Sus scrofa: one gene and its partners. Each later gene encodes a partner of the first gene's protein in a complex. Links are inferred from orthologs where the notes say so. Each region holds a gene or a part of one and is shown in the gene's direction. Other genes may lie near its edges.

The links.
Region 2: G3BP1 (region 1) and IGF2BP1 share a complex: the UniProt entries of both Homo sapiens proteins name them as parts of the TAU mRNP complex. The link is inferred for Sus scrofa from reciprocal best matches to the Homo sapiens genes G3BP1 and IGF2BP1.
Region 3: the proteins of G3BP1 (region 1) and CAPRIN1 are in contact, whole or in part, in a crystal structure (PDB 8TH7), measured with the Homo sapiens proteins. The link is inferred for Sus scrofa from reciprocal best matches to the Homo sapiens genes G3BP1 and CAPRIN1. Residues at the interface, in NP_005745.1 of Homo sapiens: Glu4, Lys5, Pro6, Ser7, Leu10, Val11, Glu14, Phe15, Arg17, Gln18, Thr21, Leu22, Met29, His31, Arg32, Phe33, Tyr34, Gly35, Lys36, Gln58, Lys59, His62, Leu114, Glu117, Asn122, Lys123, Phe124, Tyr125; in NP_005889.3 of Homo sapiens: Met363, Gln365, Met366, Gln367, Gly368, Pro369, Tyr370, Asn371, Phe372, Ile373, Gln374, Asp375, Ser376, Met377, Leu378.

What each region holds. Positions count from the first base shown.
Region 1 is NC_010458.4:71,249,097-71,252,137, reverse strand, and holds the end of G3BP1 (ras GTPase-activating protein-binding protein 1), read left to right. Parts: intron 1-966; coding exon 967-1,173; 3' UTR 1,174-2,447; downstream 2,448-3,041. UniProt on the Homo sapiens protein: Protein involved in various processes, such as stress granule formation and innate immunity. Plays an essential role in stress granule formation.
Region 2 is NC_010454.4:25,224,454-25,228,100, forward strand, and holds part of IGF2BP1 (insulin-like growth factor 2 mRNA-binding protein 1), read left to right. Parts: intron 1-881; coding exon 882-930; intron 931-1,442; coding exon 1,443-1,494; intron 1,495-3,647. UniProt on the Homo sapiens protein: RNA-binding factor that recruits target transcripts to cytoplasmic protein-RNA complexes (mRNPs). This transcript 'caging' into mRNPs allows mRNA transport and transient storage.
Region 3 is NC_010444.4:26,872,589-26,876,948, reverse strand, and holds the start of CAPRIN1 (caprin-1), read left to right. Parts: upstream 1-1,523; 5' UTR 1,524-1,735; intron 1,736-2,299; coding exon 2,300-2,515; intron 2,516-4,360. UniProt on the Homo sapiens protein: mRNA-binding protein that acts as a regulator of mRNAs transport, translation and/or stability, and which is involved in neurogenesis, synaptic plasticity in neurons and cell proliferation and migration in multiple cell types.

The sequences.
Region 1 (3,041 bases):
TCTGAGGAACCTCCATACTGTTTTCTGTGGTGGCTGCACCAGTTTACGTTCCCACTGACAGTGTAGTAGGGTTCCCTTTTTTCCACACCCTCTCCAGTATATGTTATTTGTAGACTTGCTAGTCATGACCATTCTAACTGGTGTGAGGTGGTACCTCCTTGTAGTTTTGATTTGTATTTCTCTCATAACTAGTGATGTTGAGCATCTTTGCATGTGTCTGCTGGCCATCCATATGTCTTCTTGGAGAAATGTCTATTTGAGTTTTCTGCCCATTTTTTGATTGGGTTGTTTGTTTTACCATTGAGTTGTATGAGTGGAATTTTTAAGACCTTTTTTTTCAGTTGAGCTGAAATTCCCATAACAAAATTAACCATTTTATTTTTCTTTTTATGGCCTTATCTGTGCCACTTGGAAGTTCCTGGACCAGGGATCAAATCAGAGCTTCAGCTGCCGGCTTATACTACAACCACAGCATCGCCAGATCCGAGCCTCATCTGCAACCTATACCACATGGCATCACTGCTCTGCCAGATCCCCAACCCACTGAGTGGGGCCAGGGTTCAAACCCGCATCCTCATGGATTCTAGTCGAATTCCTCACCACTGACCCACAATAGGAACTCCCCATGATGGAGTTTTATTCTAAGCCTTCAAATCCGAGGAGAAGCTAGTGATTTTGTTTATGTTATTTTAGTTATATAATTATATAGGAACCTAATTTTGCTTCAGTAAGTATGAGAGTTATTTGTGCTGCTGTGTTGTTTAAATGGACTCTTTTGAATCAGCTTGTATGCCTAGCTGCTCTTCCATGTATCTGTTAATGGGGAAATCATGTGTCCAGTGTTGAGACAAAAACTGACATGCGAGAATATAGCTGGTTTGTAAACTGCTGGTTCTTCATTTTGCCTTTAATAGTCTAACCAGGAACCCATAAGCACTCTGTAAGTCTGCTCACCTTTCTTAACAGCCCATCATGTTCAGAGGTGAGGTCCGTCTGAATGTGGAAGAAAAGAAGACCCGAGCTGCCCGGGAAGGGGACCGTCGAGATAACCGCCTGCGGGGACCTGGAGGCCCTCGAGGCGGGCTGGGCGGGGGCATGAGAGGCCCACCTCGTGGAGGCATGGTGCAGAAACCAGGATTTGGAGTGGGAAGGGGCCTTACTCCAAGGCAGTGAATTGCTCCTCGCGCAACAATACAAACCCTATCTCCCACAGAATGGTGAATTTCAACCAAGCTTTGGTATCTTGGAATATGACCCTAGTCTGTCATAAACTGCTTAAGTTTGTACAATTTTACTTTTGTGTTAATGGTGTGTGCCCCTTCCCTCCTCCCTCCCCTCCTCACCTTTTAGTCCTTCACTTCCAATTTTGTGGAATGATATTTTAGGAAAAACGGATTTTTAAAGAAGAAAAAAAGACTGAATTTCCTTGCTTTATTTGCATATACAGACTGGATTTTTTTTAACAGCCACTTCTCCAAAGGAATGTGTCTTGCTTATTACTGACATTTGGTGTGTTTCATTCATTGGAATATTTCTTACTTATTTTCTACATGTTTCGAAAGCTTGTGAGAATTACAGGAATTGATAAACATTTTGAAGACAGGAAAAACCGAAATTGTTTCTTCTTTGAGAGTCATGACTACCTTCTGGTATGGAGTACTTGCCATTGGAAAAATTGACAATTCTGATTCTTGCTGGTGTGGTTAAAAACTGAATAAAAGGTGTTAGTGGATTTTTTTTTTTTTCTTTTGATACGTGATCACAAAACAGTTCCAAAACCTACTGTTTTTACCATTGAAGTTTAAATTGTGACGATAGGTTTTAAATGTCTAGAATGCAACTAAGCTTTTCTTGAACTGTTAGATTATTTTTTTTGAAGTAGGACTTTTTCATGTTTAATTTGTATTTGTAAAAAAAGAAAAAAAAAACAAAAAAATTTGCAAAATCCGAATAACAGAAAACCAGAGCAAAACTGTTGTGCCTTCTATTTATCTTTGATCCCAGTCTTGGCAGTTTTTAAAAGAAAAATAAAAAAAACCAAACAAACAAACCCTAGATTTCTTCCATCAGGTTCACAGTATGTTGGGGATTATAGAATCCCTCTTTCACCCGTATGTCTTGTGTTCTTTTGTTATGCCTTATTCTGAAATTGAGTCTCAAACTGGAATGCCTTTGAGGACAGATGTTTCTGTAGAGGTCCAGCATTTATATTAAGTTTTATTTCAGTGTCTATTCCGAATCCTAGTCATAGCCCATAAGAAGGAATGTGACTTTCATACTGGACTTCGCTGATGTGCTTCAGTGTGCACTAGTCTTTCTTTTCTTTAGATCATAGCCATATGGTAAATTTTCTATTTTGTTATGGTTCCTTTTTATTGACGGGCATGCAGTGGGTGTTTCTTGGAAATGGCCAATTTTTATTAAAATCTTTCTGGAGGAAAATTTAATCTGGCAATATAGACTAATAGTCGTTTTGCATAGTATGTTGTTGAATGTTGTGTGTGAAGTGGGTGAAGGTTTTGTTTATACATGTGAAGCAAGCCTTTGTGTGATAGATAACTTGTCATTACTAATTGAAGGGCAATGAGGTTGTCAAATTTAACTTGTTTTTAACAGTATTCATCTTCAGAACTGTTGTATGAAGATAGTATATGAGTAGGAATAAGAGTGTTTTCTTTTGCTTTGGTGTTACTGGGAAGCTCTAGATTTACTGAAGGGCATGGCGGAAATGAAGTTCGATGTGTTATCAGTTGGTCCTTAGGACCTCAAATATTTGAAAATTGGCAACATCGTCATAAAAAGAAACTTAAGTAACTGAGTCACATGGCTTGTCTTTGAGTCAGTTTAAATGACTAATTGGTAACCACTTCATTTGGCCCAGGCCAGTGATGCTGAAAAGGAGTTTAGCTTATAGTTTTGTAGCTTATATTAAGCTTGTGGTGGAAAGAAGAAAACTTAGCCTGAGTTATTAATTTGAAAAAAACTAAACTGTAGTATCTATTATGTGATAAATTATAAATAACCTAGAAGTCATTTGACAT
Region 2 (3,647 bases), on another chromosome or scaffold:
GTTTAAATCCATATCTGTACCAAAAGAAAAAAAAAGGAGTTTAGCTGCTGCCTATTATCCTGCTGTAATTTGTTTGCATACATGTTTCCCCTAATAAATTGTGAGCACCTTGAGACCAGGTAGTTTGCCTTTTTTTTTTTTTTTTTTTTTTTGTCATTTTGCCATTTCTTGGGCCGCTCCCTCGGCATATGGAGGTTCCCAGGCTAGGGGTCAAATTGGAGCTGTAGCCACCAGTCTATGCCAGAGCCACAGCAACACGGGATCTGAGCCTAGTCTGCAACCTACACCTCAGCTCATGGCAACGCCGGATCCTTAACCCCCTGAGCAAGGCCAGGGATCAGACCCACAACCTCAGGGTTCCTAGTCGGATTCATTAACCACTGAGCCATGACGGGAACTCCAGTACTTTGCTTTGTTTATCACTATGTCCCCAGCAGGTAGAACAAAATCCGGCATGAGGTAGGTGCCGATTGAAAAGGTATCAGATAAATGATTCATGGAATAATTTGTGTAGCTAGCTTTGTATTCTTAGAGCCTGTCACACAGTGGGTTATAGACGGTTACTGAGTAAGAGAACTAGTGAGCAACTAAGAGAGATACACAAAGCAGATGGGACGGGGCGGGGGCGGGGGGGCTTTGGTTTTCCTAGCCTATAGGGCCTCTGATTTGGCCTTCCCATCTGCGGTAGCACTGACAGTAAGCAAGCCCCCCCCCACCACCACATCTTCACTCCCAAAGGTTATCATTCTTCAACTCTAAGGCTTTGGGGTTGAGCAGCAGAAAACAGGAAGGTAGACTGGGATAAGGATTAAAACCCACACGGTCATGGGCCCCTAAAAAGCACCCAGAGCTGTCACTGACACTGTTCTCTCTGATTTCAGGAGTCGGAAAATACAGATCCGAAATATTCCACCCCAGCTGCGATGGGAAGTAAGTGATCGGGGGATTCTCGAATCGGTGGTGTGGGGTCATCACAGAGACTGGGAAGGGAGTCTGGGTCAGCCTGCGTTGGCAGAGGTGACGGGGAGGTGTCCTGGTGGCTTGGGGCTGAGGGGAGACTGGCTGGGTCTCAGCCCTAACCTCAGGCTTCTGTGTTTGTTCTGTCCCTGTGGTGAGAGGCCTGACGGAAGTGGGAGGGGCAGTCCCTGAACCCCAAACTTAGTAATGACAAAGGGTAAGTTAGGGACCCGCGTGGCACAATCCGGCTTCCAGAAAGGCGCTTAAATGTCTTCTTGAGCTAAAGTATATTCTGCAAAGAAACCCCAACAGGTCACCACCCGCATGAGTCCCCTAGAAAGGGCAAAGCAAGCAGGTAGCTGCTCCATCCCCACACCAAAGGCGCCGCCTGTGCCCCAGTGCTTGGGGATGAGGGGTGTCCAGTGCTGGCTGTATGAGTTCCTGGGGTGCTCAGAGCAGCTGTGTCCCCTTCTCCCTGCTCCCAGGTACTGGACAGCCTGCTGGCTCAGTATGGAACAGTAGAGAACTGCGAGCAAGGTAAGAGTGGGCAGGGGAGGTAGGGCAGCGATGGAGGGGTGGGTGTTGGAGGAGCGAGGGGGGTGTCTCCCTGCTTCGATTTCTGTTGCCAAGTTTACCTCCTGGAGCACCAAGAGAAGGCAGCTAAAACGTGGTGTGGAGGGAGGCACACCGCAGTGTGAACCGGGACGTGTGGTCCCGGCTTCAGCTCTACTGCTTCTCTCTGGAGCAGGTTTCTCCACTGTTTCATAAGGAAAGCAACGAAGTCACTCATTCCCAGCATGGGGTCCCCAGGCTCCTGGGGCCAACCAAGGAAGAAATAAAGGTCCCAAGAGTTTAGGAATAAAATCCACAAAGAATGGAAATGGTGGAGTTCCCCTGCAGCACAGCGGATTAAGGATCTGGCGTTATTCCCAACTGTAGCTCGGGTCACTGCTGCAGCATGGGTTCGATCCCTGGCCTAGGAACTTCTCAATGCTGCAGGTGTGCCCCCCCGCAACCCAACCAAACCAAACCAAAAACAAACCCCCCAAAGCAGAGAATTTATTAATACATATTGATAGGCAGGCAAAATCTTTCAAGAGTGGGCCCACTGAAAAGAGAAATAATGAAAGAATGTAGATGGAAGTTGTAGATAAAAAGTTTGCTATTACTTTTTATCATTTCTCCACTGCTTAAGATGATAAATTTTTTTCAAAGGAAATGAACTAAAATAAAATCTGGAGTGATTTTGGTTGGACATAAAGTACAGCTTGGTCATGAGGTAGACAAACACAGTTTGAGCCTGCAGATCTTTTAAGAAACCTAGGCCAGGAGTTCCCGTTGTGGTACAGCGGAAACAAAACTGACTAGTATCCATGAGGATTCAGGTTCAATCCCTGGCCTTACTCAGTGGGTCAGAGATCCAGCATTGCTGTGAGCTGTGGTGTAGGTCACAGACACGGCTCGGATCCCACGTGGCTGTGGCTGTGGCTGTGGTGTAGGCCCGGCAGCTGTAGCTGATTAGATCCCTGGTCTGGGTGCTTCCATATGCCTCAGGTGCGGCCCCGAAAAGCAAAAAAAAAAAAAAAAAAAAAAAACAGAAAGAAACTTAGACAAGATTTAAATATTCATTTCCAAACTCTGTGTGGAATGGAGCATGATGTAAACCATTAAAAGTGATTAAAATACTTGCCTGCACGAAGGTATGAAGTGTATAATCAATCAAACGGGTTCTCTTCTGCTTCAATCCCACGCCTTGCCTTTTATCACAACTGGAAGCACTGATAATCATTGTCCAGTCCTGCTCACAGCTTAGACTGGCCACTGAGTTACTCCCCTGACAGAGACTGAGCAATGGCTTGGACACACATGGAGAGCCTCAGTAGGTGGCCCGGAAGGAGTCACCACTGGTTAAAATCCTTCCTAGGCTCACCAGGGAGGGATAACACACGTGTCCGCTTCCCAGATAGAACAGAATAGAAAATGTGTGGGGTGTTTTTTGGGGTTTTTTTTGTTTGTTTGTTTGTTTTTGGTCTTCTTAGGGCCACACTTGAGGCATATGGAAGTTCCCAGGCTAGGGTCAAAGCAGAGCTACAGCTGCTGGCCTCCACCACAGCCACCGCCACGTGGGATTCGAGTCCCGTCTGCAACCTACACTACCGCTCACAGCAAGGCTGGATCCTTAACCCGCTGAGTAAGGCCAGGGATCCGAACCCGAGTCCTCATGGATGCCAGTTGCGCTGAGCTACCGCGGGAACTCCTCAAACGCTGCTTTCTAAGCAAAGCCCTTTCTCTTCACCGTTTATGAAATTGTACCTCTGGCCACCACCTCCTTTACCCTGCTTTGTGTTTTGCTGTAACACTCACCACCTTTTCACTTTGAGGGGGAGAGAATGACTTTTTTTTTTTTTTTTTTTTTGGTCTTTTTGCCATTTCTTGGGCCGCTCCCGCGGCATATGGAGGTTCCCAGGCTAGGGGTCGAATCGGAGCTGTAGCCACCAGCCTACGCCAGAGCCACAGCACCGCGGGATCCGAGCCACGTCTGCAACCTACACCACAGCTCACGGCAACGCTGGATCGTTAACCCACTGAGCAAGGGCAGGGACCGAACCCTCAACCTTATGGTTCCTAGTCGGATTCGTTAACCACTGCGCCACGACGGGAACTCCCGACTTTTATTTTTTAATTGAAGT
Region 3 (4,360 bases), on another chromosome or scaffold:
AATACACGCTTACTGTAAATTCATTATATAATAGCAAGAGGATTAAAAAAAAAACACAGATTGATCATGTTCTTCTCTAAGATTATGCATGCCTGACTCCCTATTTCATTCAGCAAAAGCCCAAGTCCTAATAATGGCCTATCAGGCTTTACCTGACTGGCCCTCTTTGTCTTCGACCTCATCTCCTACTCTACTCTAGTCACTGTGGCTTTCTTGCTCTTCCTTGAACCCACCAAGCACATTCCCAATCTGAGTTCCTGGCACTTGGTTTTCCTGCTACCTGGAAAATTCTTCCAAGTGAATGGCCCTCTTCTTCAACTTCTTCGGTCTTGGCTCAAGGGTCATTCTAAGGCTTCTCCAGCCCACCTTGTTTCTTCTCTACCACTTCACTATCTGATATGCATTTATCTTCTCCCCACTTAGAATGTAAGCTCCATGAAGAAACTGTTTTGTTCACAATCCCTAGCACTCAAGAGTTCCTAGCACATAGTAAGGTGCTCTGTATTTGAAGACGAGATAACAGACTGCAGCTAACTGGAATATCTTGAGTCTGGAGGCTGCTGCTGTGTTTCTCTGGGCTCCCTCAGGATACACTGTTGCCAGCCAGTATTACTCATTTCATTCTCTAGGGAGCGGCGGGTTTGGTAGGCTCCTTTTCTAAATCCCTTCTATTATGGAATTTAAATTATAAATTGGTCATTTACTGTTGTCATACATCATGTGGCTGAATTTTCCACTGATTATATTTTTTTAATACACTTTCTTCTAGCCCTCAGCTGCTTTTTGTTCATTCTCCATAGCCTTATTACAATGCTGGAATAATTCTCTTGGAGCAGATAAAAAAAAAAAAACTGTGTTTCATTTAACATCTTAAGTTTTAGGTAAATTTAAAAGGAAAAAAAAATCTGATTCGTAATACTCAGGCCTCTTAGGTACCTGTCATCTTAAGGTAGCTGAAGATAATTTTAAACATGACGAGTCCAGAGTTTTAAGACAAAAACAAACAAAACCACCCAAACCCAAACATCCATCTTGCTCCTTTCTAACGCGTTTACACAGAACTCCTGGGTTACTGAGAGATTGTTTTGTAGGGGAAGCCGCAACTTGTCCTTAGACATTTTGGGGGTGTGGGAGTTTGCTTGCTCGCCGTACAGAAGGAATTCTAGAAGCTGGGATTGCACCACCCACCCCACACACCCCTTACTTGCAGAAACCTTTGCTCCCCCCCCCAACCCCCACCAAATAAGGGCTCCTCGCCCGGCAGTCGCCAGCTCCAGATCCAGCTGCTTGACACCTATTGTCCCTGTTTGGACGTCAAGCGACTTCGCCTGAAGGACCCTAGCTTTGATTTCGCTCAAAACTCAAGGCACTGCTCCGGCAGCCTCTCAGAGGCTGTTCCGACCTGGGCTGAGTGGCCAGCCCCCAGGCTAGGGTCTTGGGCAGGGGTGGCGGGAGGCTGGGCAGGCCCTTCCCCGCAGGCGTTCGCGCCGGGCAGCCCGAGCGGCAGCGAAGGCCCCCGCCCGCCGCTTCTCCCGCCCCCTCCGCCCCAGAGGGTTGGCTGCCTAAGTCCCTCCCGCTCCCAGCTCTCCGCCTCACTAGCAGCGGCTCTCGGTGCAGCGGGGAAAGGGCGAAGCGGCCTGCGCCCACGGAGCGCACGACACTGCCCAGAACGCACCGCCACCCTTGCCCCTTCAGCCGCCCCCTCGGGATCTCCAGCGGCCTCCGCGCGCGCACGGTGAGCGCCACCCCGGACTGAGGCGCTGAAGGGGAAGAGGGCCGCTGCCCCGAGTGTCCTTTACCTCCGGACTAGCTGGACTTTCGCGAGGGGCTTGCTCCTCAAGTCACCCCACCCGCCCTGGTCATTTCCAGTGCCCTTCTCCACCCTTCTCCGCCTCTCAGCCCCGATCGCTCTCTTCCCTCCCGTCCTCGCAGGGCGGCGAGGGCTGTCCCTTCCCTGCGGGGACCGTTGCACTGGCCGTTGGCGGCCGGCGCTGCGAGGCCCCGCCCCCGGCGCGAGCCTCGGTGCCCCGGGGCAGGTAGGCCGAGCCGGCGGCCGGCGCGGGGGAGGGGCGGGGGGCGGCGCGAGGCCCGGCCGGGCGCCCCGCTGGCGGGTCGCGCGCGCGCCCGCGGCCCCTTCCTGCCCCGGCGGCGCGCGCGCGCCGGCCCCGTCCCCACCCCCACCGCTCTCGCAGGCTCCCGCCCGCTGCGCGTTTTGTCCCGCGTCTCGCCCCGTCCGCCGCCTGACTCGCCGCTCTTGTCCTTCCTCCCGCTTTTTCTTCTCTCCCCTCACGGTCTCAAGATGCCCTCGGCCACCAGCCACAGCGGAAGCGGCAGCAAGTCGTCCGGACCGCCACCCCCGTCGGGTTCCTCCGGGAGTGAGGCGGCGGCGGGAGCCGGGGCCGCCGCGCCGGCTTCTCAGCACCCCGCGACCGGCACCGGCGCTGTCCAGACCGAGGCCATGAAGCAGATTCTCGGGGTGATCGACAAGAAACTTCGGAACCTGGAGAAGAAAAAGGTGCCCGGAGTTGGCGGGGAAGGGAGGGTTGGATGCTGACCCTGACTGCTGTAGCCTTCACGCTCCGCGTCTCGGGCGCTTCCCTTCCTCCCGGTCCCCACCCCCCACGCCCCGTCTCCCCGCTGGAAGTGGAGCTTCGTGCCCAGAAAACGGGCTCCGCGGGGAGGTGCTTGTCACCTGACCCGGACGTGGCGCTGGCCCCCGGGCTCCTTATTACTCTGCTCTTGCCGGGGGCCAGGCTGTTGGCCTTTGGGAGTGCGATGTGTAGGGGTGGGGGCCTGTCCGATCGCCGTGTGTGTGTGTGTGTGTGTGTGTGTGTGTGTGTGTGTGTGTGTGTGTGGTGTCCTTGTCTTCGTGGCCGAGGCTGGATCCGCGGGGGTCAGCGGGGGAAATGAGGACTCTCTGTGGGGAGGGCTCAGGCCCAACCGACTGCCTCGTGGAGTTGGGTTGTCCTACGTCCTATAGCCTAGGGGCTCGTCCGCCCCGTTACCGTGTACTTGAGGCTTGCGCAGTGGCCCCTCTCCTCCCTCGCAAGGGAAGTGTTTTTAGATCTTAAACTAGACTCGCTTCTTCCTCAGGCTCCCCTCTAGGAGCCTTCGACTTGTTCCCTCGCCCCCATCTCACGGGCGCCCCTACGTTTCCTTCTTTGTTTCAATTGTCTAGGTCCCCCCCCCCGAACCTCACGCTCAACTCGATCCCGAGAAGATTGTCTGCGGCGGCTTTTTGTCCCTCGGGGACTCTATAAAGAAGGATGGGAGGGAGGCTGCACCGATCGAGATTCGTTAGTCGCGGGGGAGGGGGGGGTCTGGGTTGGACGGAGGGGATCGCTAGGTCTCTGGGCACATGGAGAGCGCGTCTAACATGGCGGCGGCTACGGGGAGAGGGAAGCGCTTTACAGGAGCTGCATTGTGAGCACAAAGCGAAAGCAGAGGGGGAGGGCAGAGACCCGGCAGCCGCCCCGACTGGCCTCCCACACCTCCTCTCCAAAAAAAAAAAAAAAAATCGAGTCACACCCACAAATTTTTGGATTCGATATTTAGCCGTTCTGGGTCACACAGTGAAGTTTATCTTCAAGTTGGCCTTTTGTTTTATGCTTTCGGCGCATGACTGTGCCAGCTCTGTTTAGAGGGACACGTGTGTGCGCGCCCCTGTGTGTGTGTGTTTGTGTATGTGTAGAGAAAGGGTCTTGGCAGAAGTGAATAATTCAACATTGGAGGTGGGAAGGGAAAACAAATCAGTAGTTTAAAAAAAAAAATGAGGTAACTAACATCTATGATTATTACGCAAACTTTTGCCTTTTACCTTAAAAATAACTCCTTTAATAGCTTCTGTTTATCTGCCTCTAGTAAAACATTTATTCTAACATCTTGAGTGTTGAATAAGTCGTTTAAAAATGTTTTTCATTCATCCAGTAGTGTTACTTAAGATGTTGAAATAGTAACTACTTGGCTAAAATTTGGGCTGTGTGAAGAAAACTGATGATATTTAGGCCTTCATTACTTTAATTGCTTATTATTAATTTATTTTACATTTTGGGGGGAGTTTTAAAACGTTTTTAGAGTTGTTAATTCTGTCTCAGGTCCTATATTTGGGATTTCACTTGAATTTTATTTGAGGCTAAGAGATGCACTAATCGTGGATTTCTACCTTTGGCTTATCCTTTATTTTGATTAAACAAGTATGGTTTATTATAAATGAAATAATAGATTTATCAATATTAACAAGCAACAAAAGTATTTTAATTGCAAAGTAGCTATGTTCAAATGTGTAATAGGAGAAGCATGCCCAAGACCAGTATCTCGAGTCTGCCATCTGATTTAGTTTTTGCTGCTCTATTTGAAATTG